2 linked regions of the Rhinolophus ferrumequinum genome follow. The protein of the gene in region 1 interacts with the protein of each later gene in a pairwise test. Links are inferred from orthologs where the notes say so. Each region holds a gene or a part of one and is shown on either strand. Other genes may lie near its edges.

The links.
Region 2: the proteins of BPTF (region 1) and MAZ interact in a two-hybrid assay, tested with the Homo sapiens proteins (2 studies listed by BioGRID). The link is inferred for Rhinolophus ferrumequinum from reciprocal best matches to the Homo sapiens genes BPTF and MAZ.

Annotation. Positions count from the first base shown.
Region 1 is NC_046304.1:43,233,807-43,241,726, reverse strand, and holds the start of BPTF (nucleosome-remodeling factor subunit BPTF), read left to right. Parts: upstream 1-4,329; 5' UTR 4,330-4,527; coding exon 4,528-5,134; intron 5,135-7,920. UniProt on the Homo sapiens protein: Regulatory subunit of the ATP-dependent NURF-1 and NURF-5 ISWI chromatin remodeling complexes, which form ordered nucleosome arrays on chromatin and facilitate access to DNA during DNA-templated processes such as DNA replication, transcription, and repair.
Region 2 is NW_022680357.1:841,916-850,273, reverse strand, and holds the start of MAZ (myc-associated zinc finger protein), read right to left. Parts: upstream 3,712-8,358; 5' UTR 3,545-3,711; coding exon 3,353-3,544; intron 3,265-3,352; coding exon 2,414-3,264; intron 2,012-2,413; coding exon 1,948-2,011; intron 1,817-1,947; exon of another isoform or gene 1,680-1,816; coding exon 1,508-1,679; intron 744-1,507; coding exon 541-743; 3' UTR 520-540; intron 231-519; coding exon of another isoform or gene 73-230; 3' UTR 1-72. Other genes in the region: kinesin-like protein KIF22, read right to left, coding at 4,930-4,980, 5,064-5,123, 5,220-5,432, 6,136-6,200, 6,571-6,739, 7,202-7,370. UniProt on the Homo sapiens protein: Transcriptional regulator, potentially with dual roles in transcription initiation and termination.

The sequences.
Region 1 (7,920 bases):
ATGAGTCTTAACTGCAGGTCTGTGAGCTCTCACTCTCCAAGTTACCCAAGTCCAAGTCGCCTCCTGTTGACTTCCCTCTCTGTGTGTCGTATCCCATCCGACCTAATCCCCTCAGGTTGAAGGAATCCTCCACGTGATGGGAGCTGAACGCCAGGTACTCACCATCCTGACCTTCCCTGCAGCTCGACCCTGTACTCAGCAATCCCCCTCGGCCTTCGAACTGGAAGCTAGCAGTGCTGTGGAGCAGTGCCCAGTGCCCAGGGGGGTGATGCTGCCAGGACAAGCTGGGCCTGGTGCCCGGCAGTAACAGCGTGCTGTCCTCACTAGTTCTGTAATCTGATTTTGGACACTTCCTGGTTGCAAGCCTCAGAGCCTGGTTTTGGGGCACTCCCAGAGATCCTGTGAGCTTAAAGGACTCAGCATGGGTTTCTGTGACTTGCAACCAAGAACCAAACTGATAACAGAAATTGGAATCAGAGTGGTTGTAGGCCATAGGTCTCAGGGAAATGGGGTGGGCGTGGTCTGTGACTGTCTAGTCTTTTGAGGGTGATGGTAAGGAAAATGCATCTAGTGTTGAGGTATGAGACTTAAACACCCTATATCAACTAGTGGCAAAACAATTCAATGAAACACCCGTGTCTTTTGGAATTAAAGGCAAGTCTTTAGAAGAGTGAGTGGCTGTAAGCCATAGAACTATACTGGATGTGAGGAATTCAAGGACTGTGGGGTGCGGTGGTTTCTGACAGTGCTGGATACTTGGCAGCTCTCTCTGGATTTAGAAGACTACATATACCACATTGGTATGTGCTGCTTTAACCCATTTTCCAAGTGACCTGAAAGCTTGCTAACGTTGAGCCACAGCACAGAGCAGGAGAAGCTTCTTCAGCAGGTCCAGGCTGCATGCACGGTGCTCTGCTGGTTGGTCCCCAGGACCCGGTGTATCCAGTGCTCGGTGTGCGGCCACATGCTGGGATGCAGTACAAAGCCCATGACAAGCCCCCCAAAGAGCATCACTATGATTGTACTCAGGGTTTCAGAGCAAAGCCTGGCTCTCTTTGGCTAATAACCACTCTCCTTTTTATAAACTGTTCTTAAATTGCTCCTGGGCCTGGACAAAGATTGGAACCCTGACCACAGATTACCAGGTGACCATGTAACTTAGTTGGCTTATTATGAACTGTCTTATTAAGTATCTTATTAAGTATCTGTCCCACTTAGCCATAAAATGCCCTGTAGCAATCCCTTCCCCAAGAAGACATGGGATATAGAAGAGCAGCTCTGAGTAGGTCCTGTAGAAGGCACAGGCGTGCAACTCCCAGTATGTTCACTCTCATTTTACTGGCACCCCTCCCTCAATTCACATTATGGAAAACTCCCATGACCAAGTGACTAAGGAGGACATTTGAGCTTGGTTTACAGATAGTATCAGCTGGGAGGGGACTGCTAAGGTGTTATAGCTATACTTGCAAGTGGCCTTGCAAGGGCCGTGGGAAAAGGAAATCTTCCCAGTGGGCAGAGCTCTGAGTTGTTCTCTTACGGTTCTCTTCGCCTCAAGAAAGACTATACCAGTTCATGGGCGAGGTGGTCAGGGATTCAGGTTGGTGAAAAGGAGGTTTGGGCGTGGATGTAGGTGAAACTCTCAGAACAGACCTAGAAAGTGAGAGTAGCTGTGTTCTGTGTGAATAGTTATCCTAATGTTCCCACTGCTGAAGATTTAATGTTAGGGGACAAGAAGACCCATCCTATGGAAGTAGGTCCAGCTCCTTCCCTAGTCAGGCCAGTGTCTGCTGACTGGGGTCGTGAACTGACGACGATCATGGGCTTCTCCTTGGCAAGGCTGACCTGGCTATTGCCACTGCTGAGTGCCCATTCGGCATTCATCATTATAGTGGCTCCTTGCTATCCTGGTGGGTACAGTGAATCAACCTCATTGGGAAGAGGATTTGCTTTTCCCACCATCCTACGTGAGTTTACTGAATACCTTGTTTGCCGTCATGGTATTTTAGACATCATGGCATCTGTCTCAATCAGTTCAGGCTGCTATAACAGATATTCCTAGCCTGGATAGCTTATAAACATTAGATATTTATTTGCTACAACAAATTACCATGGACTGGGTCTTTTCAAACAACAGACATTTCTTTCTCACAGTTCTGGAGGCTGGAAGTCTGAGATCAGGGTGCCAGCCTGGTCGGGTTCTGATGAGAGCACTCGTGCGTTGCAAAGGGCCAACTTCTCACTATACACTCATGTGGCAGAGAGCAGGGAGGGAAGGCAAGCTCTAAGCAAGCTCTCTCCTGTTCTTAGAAGGGCATTAATCCCATCATGAGGGCTCCACCCTCATGACCTCATCTAACCCTAATTATTTCCTAAAGGCCCTACCTCCTAGTACCGTCACATTGGGGAGTAGGGTTTCAACATTGGGGAGTAGGAATTTGGTGGGGGACACAAACATTCAGTCCATCGGACCACAGCACTAACTTTAGTGAAAGAAGAAATTGGCTGTCCTATCAGATTCACTAGCCCCATTGTGGACCCCAATAACCAGAAGGAGCTCACTTTACGGAAAAGTAGAACGGCCCATGGAATACACAGCTCTTGAGTCAGGAGCAGATAACAGCTGGAGAGCTTGGATCCCCTTTATTGTTGGAACCAGCAATTCTGGAGGTGTCCATATCCTTCTCATGAGTTTCTTTTCTGTTTAGATGAGCCAGGGTCACTTTCTGTTGCTTGCAATTAGAAACTCCAAATAATATACCTTTCATTGTGCCATCTGTCATAATTTTTTCTGATAAACAGGTTCCTCCACTATTAGTTTGTGAACACAGAAGGCTGTCACCATTTCTTTCTAGTATCTTCCCTATGGTACACGGCACTACATAGTGTAGGACACAGGTTGCAAACTTGTAGACTCTGGGCCATATATTTGAACTGCATTTATTTTGATCAATCCGAAGTGTTTATAAAAAATTGACCTAATGGCCAACACTTAAAAATCGTGAGATTTCATATGCAGTGCACATTTCCACCTTCTCTTGAAAAATTTGACGACCTGGCTATTTTAGGCCCACATTCCCACAACTTCCTTCTTAAAACAAAACACAGGCACTTCCATTTGACAAAGTTTTCACTCACTTTATGAAATTTCATTACTTACCTGGTCCCTGAAGGCGTATGTTTGTCACCCTTGGTGAAATATATGGAATAAATTAATTTAGCAATTAATGCTTGTATTTTCATTTCATACACGCAGAGTCCTTTCTTTCTAATGACTAATAAGCCACTTAGTGATAGGGAAGAAACTTGGGTAGTCACATATATCAGTAAATATTGTTTATAAAACCTTTCTTATTTAGAGTTATCCTTGACCATGGCGAGCTGAATGCCCCGGGTTTGGTTGAGGGGGTGGCTAAAAATTCATCATCTTGATCAGTCCCCTGGGCTAAGCCGAGACCTGATGATTTCTCAGGTAAAAAAAATTACTTCCTGATAACACAAACATGCATTTTGAAGTAGGTTTTAGGCAAGAAGTCACCCTTTCTACTACTGCAAACGAGAAACTGGGAGTTCTTGCTGAGGTGGCCGACTTTCTAGCCGGGGTCCTGGGAAAGGTGGGAGGAGACTGGGACGTAGCTGGCGTTCCGGAGTTTATCCGAGGCTTTTCGGGTGGGGATTCTAAACTAAGGAGTCTCGGAGTGACTCCCTGTGGGTCTGGCGGCCCAGGGCGTGGTTCCTGGCACAGCCCTCCAGCAGTTGTCATTGGGATCAATTTCAGGACTCCAGAATCAAGCCTTCGGAGTTTCACATTTCTGGGGGCTCGTCGCCCCGTCCCCCTCTTAATTTCCCTCCGTCGCAGGACCTGCTCTATCCCCCCTCGGTCCTTCTAGTTAACCCCTCTCCCCCCGCAATACCCTCTCTGGCTCTTTCAGCATCAGTTCCCCCATGGGGGCGGGAGGGGGATACATTTGGGGGTTCCCCTTCCCTTCCCTCCGAGTCGGAGACGGGGGGAGACGCGGGAAGGAGGCCCTGCTAAATTCAGGCTCCAGCGGGGGCTCCGTGGAGGCAGTCGTCACCGAGACCTTTGGCGCGGGACACTTCGCGCGGGGGAGCGCCCCTCGGGTCCGTGCCGCCTGCGTCTGTGGTGCAGCCGCACCGCGCGGAGGCGTCCCGGGCTCCCCGCCCCCGATCCGGCGCTCCCGCGCTCCCCCTAGCGGCCGCCGCGCGGCCTCGCTCCGTCCCAGGCTCGTCGGCGGCGCAGCTCACGTGACCGCGCTCCGGGCCTGCGGCCGCTGTCGGTTCCCCCAGTCACCGAGCGAGAGGGAAGAAACAAGATGGCGGCTGAAGGCGATCCGGAGTGGGGCCCCAGCAATTCGGATTGAGCCTTCTCCCTCCACCCGCTTCCGCCGGCCGGGCCCCTCCCGCCCGGCCCCGCGGGCCTCCCCACCCGGCCCCGGCGCCCCCCACCGCCACCCCTCCGCCCGCCCCTCCCCCCTCCGCTTTCCCTTCTCCCCCCGCCTGGGCTCCAACATGAGGGGCCGGCGGGGCAGGCCGCCCAAGCAGCCCGCGGCTCCCGCTGCGGAGCGCTGCGCCCCGGCCCCGCCGCCGCCGCCTCCGCCGCCGCCCACGTCCGGACCCATCGGGGGGCTGCGCTCGCGGCACCGCGGCAGCAGTCGGGGCAGGTGGGCCGCCGCCCAGGCTGAGGTGGCGCCCAAGACGCGGCTGAGCTCGCCCAGGGGGGGCAGCAGTAGCCGGAGGAAGCCGCCGCCGCCGCCGCCGCCGGCCCCCCCCAGCACCAGCGCCCCGGGCCGGGGGGGGCGAGGAGGCGGGGGCGGCAGGACGGGGGGCGGGGGCGGCCACCTGGCCCGGACCACCCCGGCCCGGAGGGCCGTCAACAAAGTGGTGTACGATGACCACGAGAGCGAGGAGGAGGAGGAGGAGGACATGGTCTCCGAGGAGGAGGAGGAGGACGGCGACGCCGAGGAGACCCAGGATTCGGAGGACGACGAGGAAGATGAGATGGAAGAGGACGACGATGACTCCGATTATCCGGAGGAGATGGAAGACGACGACGACGACGCCAGTTACTGCACGGAAAGCAGCTTCAGGAGCCATAGCACCTATAGCAGCACTCCAGGTACCCACCCAGCCCCGTTGCTGCAGACTCCTTCCCCACCTCCTCTACCCTCCCCCTCTACTCACTCCCTCTCTGGTCTCCCCCACCCTCACCTCCCCCCCAGCAGAGGGGAAATGCGACGGCACATCCAGTGGCAAAAAACGAGATTTACCAGAGGATAGAGGCGCATTGTTCAAAATGGAGATTGCATTGTTGCAGTTTGCAGGCCACACACTCGCTTGCTCTCTTTCTCTACCCCCAACCCCCTCATTTTCCTCTTCAAAATTTGTGCCAGTGCAGTGTCTCCATCGGGCAGGATTGAAACTTTGGCACACATACCCATTGCATTCATTTTTCTCCCCCTTGTTTTGGTTTGGTTTTTTTTTTTTGGAATGAAAGAAGCCTCTTGTTTTGCAAACCTCTTTGCATTTCTAATGTGGTTTCTTTTAGCTTTTTATTCTATATCTGTTCCTTAAAAGGGAATTGAGGATTTAGACAGGTTGTGGCACACAGACATACACATACAACATGTTTCTCTTCACACCCTAGCACACCGTGTGGTTTTAAAATCGTGTTGAGGAAATGGATCAGTTTGGGTTAGTAGGGGACCCTTATCTGGTCCTGTGTGTTTGTTTTTATTGAGTGCTAATGGGCTCGTGCAACAGTTGCTGGTAAATGGCTGATTAAAAAGCAAAGCAGAAAACCAAACAAAACCAAAACAAACGTGGTAATTCACCCCATTCAAAGTCATTTTGGGAAAAGCCAAAATAAAAGTAAGGAAGCACGGGAACCTGTGTCTTAATTAAGTTTGATCCCATTGCTTTGCCTGGGAAATGCAGTTTCGAGTCACCTGTTGCAGGAGATGTACAGTTGATCATGCAGACACAATTGCCGAAGATGAACTTTTGGACCAACTTCTAAGTCACACCGCAGAAGGAGGGGGATTTATTAGAAAACGAATTTTTTTTCTCATTCCTTTTCGAAGGATAAAAATCCTCCCTGGATCTGTAATGAATTTCCCCATGGTGACTCCTCCCCTATTTTCTCACAGAAAGTTTCTCTAGGCTGGTGCTGAGATGCGTTTTTATTTTTTAAGCCACATGATTGCTGCTTTGTGTTAAATACATGGTTGAATCTTACTAAATTGTGAAAAAGGCGTAACTTGTAGCAATAACCTACAAGATTTTTTTCCTTTATATTTTTGTTTATCTGGATTAACTAAATTAGAACCCAGTTTTAAGAGCATTTACAAAGTAAAGTTTTTGAGGAAATAGGATCTTAAGGTGTGTCATTTGTTTTTTTAAGAGAGACTGCGTAGTAGAATATAGCTGCTCGTGCAGTCAATTTAAATATTTCCATTTTCTATAAATGATTAAATATTTATTGGCGGAGTATGATGATTAAACCAGGTGTAGTTCCATTTAGATTGTCTTAACAGCAAATGAAAAAGGTAATTTCTTTTGCCAGACAGTAAGAATATCTGCCTGTCTGTGGAGTGGGGGTGTTGGCAGGAGAATGAAGGGAATGAATCAAGTGTCAACTTTTTTTGTCTTGTCTGTAGCAGGGACGATGCCACTTTTCATTTCTTGCCAACTTAATTTTAGTATGTCATTTATAGTAATAGTTTTTACTTTTAAGAAATCACATGTGGTCTTCTGTACCAAGAGCCCAGAATTGAAACCCCTGGAAACTGAATTACATGATCCCAGGCAGTTTTTTTTCAGGTTACACAGATATAAGGTGTTTTGGCAGGGCAGTTCAGCTAATGTTAACTTCTCTTTGAAGGCCTAGCAAATTTAGGATTGGTAGCCATATGTATGCTGAATTAAATTACAATTTGTGTTTCCTTTTTTAAAAAATACTTGTATATTTGTGTACTTACATGACATTTTTTCTTAATGACATTTATAGTTTATCTTGTGTATACTTGTCCTATCTTTATATGAAATTAAAGATTATACATCCTTATATTAACCTTACATCCCCTAACTTTCCTGGCGCAGTGTCTTGGCATGCATGTAGCGGATGCTCATCAAAGATTGGTTGGATAAATGATTGTTAGTAGGTGAGAACTTGTAACAGATGAAGTTTCGATAATGCTACAGTGGATACCATAACTCCTAAATGTTTTGGATTTGGGAAACTGAAAATTGGTCCTGTTAGATTTTGATAGTTTGATAGTTTGAAAATTGGTCCTGTTAGATTTTGATAGTGAATGTTTTTGTAGCAGAGTTAGTGTGTTTTGAGCTGCTATTTCATATTGCTTGCCAGGCATTTTCCTTTCTTCATTGGATGTGATATTAACTTGTTGGTTGTTTTACTTTTTGAGACATTATTTCTCAAGATCATGGTAGAAGGGGTGATACATTTTGTGTTTTAAACTTTAAGAATGTATCCACTTTCCTACAGTGAGGAACAATCCATGACAGTTGTTTTGGCAAAGCACTAATTTCATATGTTTTTTTGTCTGTACTTCCAGACAATAAAGGCTGGGAAGAAGGCTGTCAGTAACGTGTATATGTATGTATGCTTTGGAAGCAAAAAACGTTCTAGGGCTGGTTTAAGATATCCCAAGAGTGCATGAAGAAATACGATTGGTGGATTTGAATCCTGTTGTACTGTCAAGACTAAAAGAGGAGTATACTTTATTGGTAATTTAGATTAATTTTTGTAGACTAGAATGCTGGCTTAAGTACTAACAAATTAGTATGAGAAATAACTCATCTGTCGAGTACTTTGTAGGTAATAACTGTTGATGCAAAGATATTGGTTGATATTAGTAGCTTAATTTTCTAAAATCATAGATT
Region 2 (8,358 bases), on another chromosome or scaffold:
AGAGAGGGGGAAAGGACATGATACCAATGGCCTTGCCTCCATTCTCCCTTCTCCCCGTCACCAACGTGGAGCTCACCAGGGCTGGGAGGGAAGTGGCTGAGAGCTCACAGGCACCCCCTCAGCCCCCGAGAGGGAGCCCACAGCTGTGGGAGGGGCTGCCACTGATGCAGCCGCCGCCGCTGCTGCCGCTGCCGCCGCCGCCGCTGCCATTGGACAGACCTCACCGGTACCTGCATGGTGACAACAGATCACAGCGCCGTCTGAATGGCAAGAGCCTTGTCCCTTGCCCCAGACTCTCCCCTGGGACACAGCCGTTGCTCACTCCCTGTTTGGTCCCAGGCGGCTTCAACCTGCGTCCTTACCCAGTTCTCCTGAAGGGCCCTCCCTGTCCCCAGAGGTCTCCCTAACGTGATTGGCAGATGGACATCCCTAGCCTTCCTGAGATCCCCTATTGGGCCCTTTGAGCCCCCTTGTCCCACACACACCAGCCCACCACCCCAGCCATGCCCCACGCCTTGCCTGGTGGGTGCGGGGTCCCCCTCAGCAGGTGGGCTGTGGCTGGGGGGCATCTCCCGGGACAGGGGGGGCGGCACCCCCCAGATGGGTCTGCATGTGGCCGGCCAGCTGGGCAGGGGTCTTGCAGTGCACGCTGCACAGCTTGCACAGGATGCGGTCAGCCCGCGGGGCCTGGAGCCCGTGGTCCTTCACCGCGTGGATGCGCAGGTATGCTGCCGTGGTGAAGCCTATGGGGGGGGGGGATTGGGATGGGGGATGGGGTCAGCCAGGTGGAGACCCCAGAGACGGGGCTGTTCTCCTAGGCTGGGGACACCCTTCTCCGATGGCCCTGTCCTCCTCCCACCTCATCCTTGGTAACCTGGGGCCAGCTATTCTGCGGGGGCTGGTCGGGCACAGCCCCTCCCTCAACTTGGGACCTGGCTGAGTGGCCGCTTCTTGGCCTTCAGACCCACAGAACCCATTCTCTCCAAACTGGGGGATCTCTCCTGGGGTGACCGGACACTGACTCCTAACCACTTGAAGGGGTGACCCTCAGCAGAGACGGCTGTGTCCCCTCCCTCGTGCCCCATACATTCTCAGCCCAGTGACACAGTGAGTAAGCGAATCCGTTTCTCTGTTACTGGGGCAGAGTGTGTGCTTGTCAAACCCCTGCCAATGTACTCCACTTGCCCCACGAGCCGAAGGCGAACACTTATGGCTGCAGAGCCGAAACCCTGCCCCCCCGCCCCTGGACACTGGCTCTCTTGACCACTCCTTCCCCAAGCCGCCATGGCCCACGCCCCTTCTCCCCACGCACACCCAGAAATCGCCTCTTTCTGGCAGATCGTCTCTTCCAGCCATGACCTCTTAAAACTTAACGATGTCCAGTGGTCCCAGTGCCGCTTCATTTGCTTCCTAGAGGGCTCTAGACACCATGAGCTCCCGTCGGTGGCAGGGCCTCTGGCTGTCCCCACCCTCGTCCCCTGCCCCCCCAGCAGCCCTCGGCACGCACCTTTGTTGCAGAGCTCGCAGACATGGTGCGGGCCCTGGCTGTGCACCTTCATGTGGTCCGAAATGTAAGCCGAGCTCAGCATCTTGCCACATACGTGACATGGCACCTTCTCCTCGTGTCGTACTGTGTGCGCCCGCAGTCGATCCTTCGTAGCAAAAGCTGCCTCACATTTCTGGGGAAGGGGGAGGGGTGTGGGGGGTGTCAGGAGAGTTAAAGCTTCAGGGAGTGGGAAGAGGGGGACAAGAGGTTAAAGGGATCAGAGCCTTGGGGATCTTTGATCTGTAGGAAAAGGGAGTGAGATGACGAGGCCTTGAAGGGATGAGCAAATGGAGTGAAAAAGCAAAAAGAGAGAGAAAAAGGGGGTCTGAGAGGCTGAGCTCAGACAACTACAATGAGGATCAAAATCATGACACGGGGCCAGGAGGCAGCGGGTTTCCTACCTCACATTTGAAGGGCCGTTCTGTTGAGTGCACTTGTCTGACGTGGCTGTTGAGGTGATCCGGCCTGAGGATACGTTGGGGTTGGGATTAGGGCCCTGGGGTGTGGAGATGCCCCCAGATCGGCCTCACCTAGGACAACAGGCCTTTCCAAAGGTCCCTGCATTTGCTCCCAAGCCAGGGGCTTCAGAATCCTGCTTAGACAGGAAGTCCCTCCCCTGGAGCAGGGCTGCCTCCTCCGCGCCAAGCTTTCCTACAACCCAAGGACCCACCTCTTTTGCTAAGTACCACCCCCTGCTCCCTGGTAACCAGGAGAGGCTTGCCTCCCTCCTCCCTGGGAGGGGCTCCCAGTCCCCGTCCTCACAAACCGCCTCCCTCCCCAGCAGCCAGCCGAGGCGAGGCCAGGCCACCTCCATCGCCGGCCCTCCCTCCCCACCCGCCCAGTGGGCGGCCGAGGCCCCGTGCACACCGGGAGAAGCTCTTGCCACAGTGGGAGCAGTTGTAGGGCTTGTGCACAGCGCCGTCATGTGAGCGCACGTGGTAGCTCATGCGGTCCTTGCGCTTGAAGCGCTGCTGGCACACCGGACACTGGTAGGGCTTCTCGTCGGAGTGCGACAGCTTGTGTCGGTTCAGGTGGTAGACGTCGCGGAAGGCCTTGCCGCACATCTCACAGGCGTGGTTCTTCCGGACGCGCTTTCCCGAGGCGGTCGTGGTCACCACGCCACCGGCGGCAACTGCGGCCGCTCCGCCGCCAGCACCAGCTTCTCCCCCTCCTCCTCCGGCTCCGCTCAGCTGGGGGACGCTCAGGAGGCTCAGGGGCACCATGGTGGGCATTTTCATAGCACCCGAGGGGACCCGGCCGGCCTTGGCTCCCGTGTGGATGGCCTCGTGCCTCCGGAGATTATAGCCGTTCTTGAACTCCTTGGCGCACAGGGCGCAGATGTAGGGCCCCTTGCTCTTTGTCTTCTTCTCCAAGGCTGATGCGACCGGGGCCACGGCGACCGTCGAGGTTGGGGCTACGACGGCGGTGGCTGCGGCGATAGTGGCGGCAGAGACAGGGGGCGCGGCCTCCGCAGCGGGCGCAGACACCGGCGGGGGCGGCGGAGGGGGCGCGGGCGGCTGCTTCAGAGCCGCTGTGTCCACTGTAGAGGCGGCGGCCGCGGTTGGGGGCGCAGCGGCAACGGCAGCGGCGGCGGCGGCGGCGGCGGCGGCCGCCGCGGCCGCGGCCGACTCCTGGGCGGCGGCGAGAACCGGGAGCAAGTCCACCTGGAGGGGCTCGGCCGCCGGGGCCTGGGGCGTGGGTGGGGGCGCCGGCGCGGCCTGCGGAGACAAGGCGCCGTGTGGGCCGCAGCCGCGGGTCGGCGCCCTCCCGGCCCCGTGCAGCCCACCACGGCCGGCCCCTACTCACCTGGAATGGACTCTGGGCGCAGCCCTGGGAGGCAAAGAAGCGGGACTGGAGCTCAGCCCCGACCTGCAGGGGGTTCTGGGCGTGACCCTGAGGTGGCGGGAAGGAGTTCATGAGGCCGCCCACCCCCCGGGAGTCCAGGCCCAGCACGGGGAAGGGGGGGGCCAGCAGCGTGCAAGGGAACACGGGGAACATGGCCTCGGCCACGGCGGGGCCCCCAGGGCTCAGCAGGGGCCGGGGGCGCGGGCCGCGCGGGGCCCGGGCTCGGGGCGCCGCCCCCGGCCGGCCCGGCTGGGCCGCGCCGAACGCATGGCCCTCGGGCCACCCCGCCGCCCGCGCACCCCGGCTGGCGGGAGGGAGGGAAGGAGGGCGCCTGGCGGGCCGCAGAACGCGCAGCGACGGCGGCGGCGACGCCCCCTGGGTGGGGGCGGGAGGCCCCGCGGGGCCAGCGACCGGGGGCGGGGGCCCGGGCGGCGGCGGCGGTGGCGGTTGGAGCCTGGCGGGGCGGGGTGGGGGGAGCGAGGGAGCAGCCTCGGCCCCCGCCGCGCGCGCGCCCAGCCGGCGCCTCGGGGAGGGCGGGGGAGGGCGCGAGGGAGGGAGGGGGACAGCTGCGCGCGCACCGGGCGCGCGGAGGGGGGGTGGGACGGGAGGGAGGGCGGGCGGGAGGGGGTGTGGGAAGGGGGGGCGGGGGGAGGGGGTTGTTACCTGGAAGATGAAGCTGCTCCAGTTGCCGGGATCCATGGCGGAGGGAGGGAGGGAGGTGGCTCGCGCTCACCCTGGGGCGGGAGGAGGAGGAGGCGGCAGTGGGGGAGGGGGAACCCAGGGAGGAGGCGCGCGGGGCTGGCGGGAGGGGGGAAGGAGGAGGGGGTGGGGGGAGCGGAGCACACTGCGCGCGGGGAGGGCGGGCGGGGGGCGCGAGGACACACAAGAGGCTGGAGCGGGCGCGAGCGCGAGCGCGCGCGAGGCCAGCGGGAGGGGGGAGGTACAAGAGGGACTCTGGCGGGAGGAGGGACGGGGGAGCCACCCAGCCGTCGGAGTCGTCCCAAGCGCGAGACCCCTGAGACGGCCGCTGATTGGCTGACGATGGCGCAGGTGGTGGGCGCGCGGGAGACGGGGCGGCTTCTCTCCCCCCACTTCAAAGATTCCACCCCCCCTCTTCCCTCCACCAGCAGCCGTTATTTCGCGCGCACGCGCACAAAACCGCTGTTGTTGACGAACGGGAGAATAGGGGTGCGCGCTCCGGGGGTACGGATGGGGCGGGGCCAAACTGAAAGCGCGCGCCCGCCTAACGGTCGTCGTCCCCGTGCTTCCGCGTAGGCTTTTTGTTTCCTGTCGGCCACCGTCTTTCCCCCTCCAGTGGTTTATTTACAATCCTGTGCTGCCGCTCGTGTCCCCAAAGATGGCGGCCGGAGGAGTTAACCCCCGGGGCGTGGGGCCCGTCCCAGGGACAGTTGTACCCCGGCCCCGCCCCCAGTCTCAAGAATCAGGCCGAAGCAGCGGAGTTAAAACTGTATTTATATCAGAAGCGGTTATACAACGACTTAAAAAACGAAAGGCAGAGTGAAGAGCGGAGCCGGTAGTCAGGAGGGACCGCCGAGCTGGCCCGCCGCGGCGAGACCCAGGATGTTCGCCTGCAACGAGCGAAGGGAGAGCGGCGTTAGCGGCGGGGCGGGGCGGGGCGCGAGCCGGGGGCGGGGCCGAGCCGTGAGCTCACCTTCAGGAACGACGCCAGCTGTCTCCCTGACATGACTTTCACCCGTTCCAGATCCTCCACCTGGCCGGACAGCAGTAATGGGGAAAGGGGGTCGGGGGTACCAGGCTCCTTCCCCCAAATCCAAGTGTCCCAGGCCTACCTCCCACGGGCCGTTACCTGGCTGAAGGGGCCGTGGAGCTCCCTGCAGCCCACGATGAGCTGGGCCTTCTTTTCGCCGATGCGCTGCAGGCTTCGCAGATCCCGCGCTGAGCCCTCGTTCAGCAGCTGCAGTATTTTTTGGCGCCCATGGGCCAGTAGCCCCGAGCTGAGCTGTAGCTCCCAGCAGTCCTCGGCCTTCTCCTGGGGCTCGGAGGCATCCAGGTCCTCCCGCTAGGAGGCAGGACCAGGTGAGTGGCCCACACAGCAGTGTGCTGCTCAGCAGGCCTACAGCAACAGACCGCGACTCCTGCGGAGGCCAGCAGCCCTCTTCCCTGCCCGCTCCAGCCTCTCTGCCTCCAGTCAAGTGTCCGTGCAGAAACCCTTCCCTTCTGGCCACGGAACTCCTTCTACCCACCGTGGGAACAATGGTAATAGAGTTGCTGTGAAGATCGAATGAGTGAATGCAAAGCACACAGTAAGCTTAAATCTGGTCCCTCATTTCTGACAAACAAAAAGTTGCCTTGCACCCCAGGAAAGCACATAGAGGGTACTCCAGAAGTGGCACCTCTCCCAACGGTACCATCTCAGTTTCTGGCAATTCTTCCAGTGTTGTTTGATTTCTTGAGTGTTTAGTCATGCTTTCCTGTGTGGGCTCCTAAGCTTGTAGGGGGCAGGACCCAGACTACACACCCTCCTAGTGAGTAGTTACTAAGCATGAGACATCAGGAAGGAAGGAAAGGAACAAGTAATAGACAACCACTCCGCCCAGGTACTCCTATCTGCATTTCACCCTGAGTGCCCTTTGGAAGAGATGTAAATGGCTAATAAATGTTGTGACAGGCTGTGAAGCGCCAGGGCCAGTGTTCTTCCCACGAGTCACACTGTCCCTTACTTCTAGGCTGTACGTGTAGCCTAAGCCTCCAGCTGCTCTCACCTTTCTCTTGCGGTTTTTCTTCAGGATATGGATGTCGGGATTGGGGGATGCTGCCTGTTCCTGAACTGAAAGCAAGAATTGGGAGCTGGAGTCATTACGGAAGCCCCCCTTCACCCTCCCTGGTAGCCACCTGGCTCCCCATTTGATTCCCCAGTTCCCCTCCACTGTTGTGTTTCCACATGACCTTTCTCTCTTATCCACCATTTGAAAGGAATCTCCGTCGGTCTTGCATGACGATCAGTCACGCACCTGTCAGCCTAGCCCCTGTGCTAAGCACCTGAGAGCCGGAGCATTAGCTCGCCTTCCAGCCTCCTCCTCGCTCCCGAGTTGGCTCGGGGGAGGACACGAGTGACATAAGGACTGCCGCTCCGAACACCTCCTCCCTCCTGACGGCTCAGTGACCTGGGCCCTCCTGGCCCCCAGAGCCAAACTTACTCAGTTGTAGAGGCATCACCACGGCCTTTTGGAGGGGCTTGGCCACTGTGACTCTGCGGCGGGCAAGGGGTAGGAGCATGGGGGGAGAACAATTCTCTCCCTCTGTTGAGTCCACAGCCTTCTGGGCCAACACCTGGGCTTCCAGTTCTTTCTGCTCCATCTTAAGCCTCTGTTGGGGAGGATCAGGGAGAGAGGTGACCCAGAACCAACGTCAGGGCACCTTGAAAGGACAGTGGATTAGCAAAGTGAGTGCAGGACTCCGAGGCCCCAGAGGGAAGGCTGGGGGCCAGTGAGAGAAACCTCCAGGAGGCAGCTGGCCCCCAGCCTAGTTAAGGGCTTGCTAATGATCAGGGCTGCCCAGAGGTGGAACAGCCTCTCTGAAACATGGAAGTCCTAACTTAATTTGAGCCGGGAATTTTTTTTCCTCTCCCCTCCTCACATCTGATCTTAATTATTTTTCAAAGTTCAGCCCTGTTTAGGACATTCAAGCAGAAGCTGAAACACCGGGGAGTCCAGCGTTGGGTGAAAACTGGATGCTGGTCCAGCCTTTCAGTGTCTTTCTCTGTCTGAAGAGCCTCGATTGCGTCTCAAGGCCAATAGGAACCCCCACCCCCACCTCTCCAGCACTTACTTCAATCTCCAAATCCTTCTCCTCCACTATCTTCATAAGCACCATCCGCTCTCGCCTTGGGGTGCTCAGCAGAGGGGTCCCCTGCGTCCCCTGGGAGCCCAGCAAACGGTCCAAGCTCAGGAGGCGCTGCAGCACGGCCGGGTCCATGCTACTTAGCTTCTGTAGTGGGCTGAGCAAAGAGGTTTACTCCCCACCTACCTCTTCTCTCATCGCCCCTCATCATGCCCTAACCTGCTGTCCTATGTGCTTCCAAAACCCTGGTGTTAACTTGTTGGACAACTCTGGGCAAGTCCCCCAGGCTCTGGGTGGAGTGTGGGGGTCTCAGGGATACCAGGAGATCAGGTATTTGGGGCTTGTGCGCCTGTCCATGGAGGAGCAGTCCGGGAAGCTTCGCAGGAGGTCACATTCAGCAGGGCTCTGAAAGCCAGCGAAGACCTCAGTGCTGCCCTTTCTCCTGACTTCCTCTGAGCACAATAATGCCGGTCGCTTGTTCCTTCCCTCTGGACTCCGCCCCCCACATCTGATGTCAGTCATCACTCGGAGTCTCCTTTCCCATGATGCCCGCTTTGGCTGCATACCTTCCTTCCTACAGTCTGAACTACCTCCTCAGAGACGGGCTGCCCTGTCCTTTGTGTGCAGATGCCTAGGAAGAACGGCCTGAAAATGTGCGCTAACATCAGAAGCCATTTCTCCCTTCCTGGCTTCCCCTTACCGCCCTGTGTGCACTACCTACCCAGCCTCATCTCCGGATGCCCAACCTTATTTCTCTTCTGAAACATGAGCCCGAGGTCAGGGTCTGACTCGGTCTGCTGTCCCATCTCTGAGCCCCCTCCAGAGTGCCTGCCCGCTCACATGTAACACAGATGTGCGAGTACGTGTTTACCTGGGGTTTGTGCACACAGGAGAGGGGACTGCTGACCAGTGGCTTGGGAAGGACACGATGGAAAGACAGACTTGAGCGAACAAGCACCTTTTCATGTATGTCTTCTTTCCTCAACTACAACAGCCCCTGGGCCGGTGTGCACCAATCCCTGGCCGCCTCCCGTCACCTGTGCTCAGGAGTCGTAGCACGTACAGTGTAGAGAGGCTATATTTGGGCTCAGGGTAGAAACAGGGCAAAGTTAAAACTGCCACTGGCTCCTTGGAGTCAGGGAGAC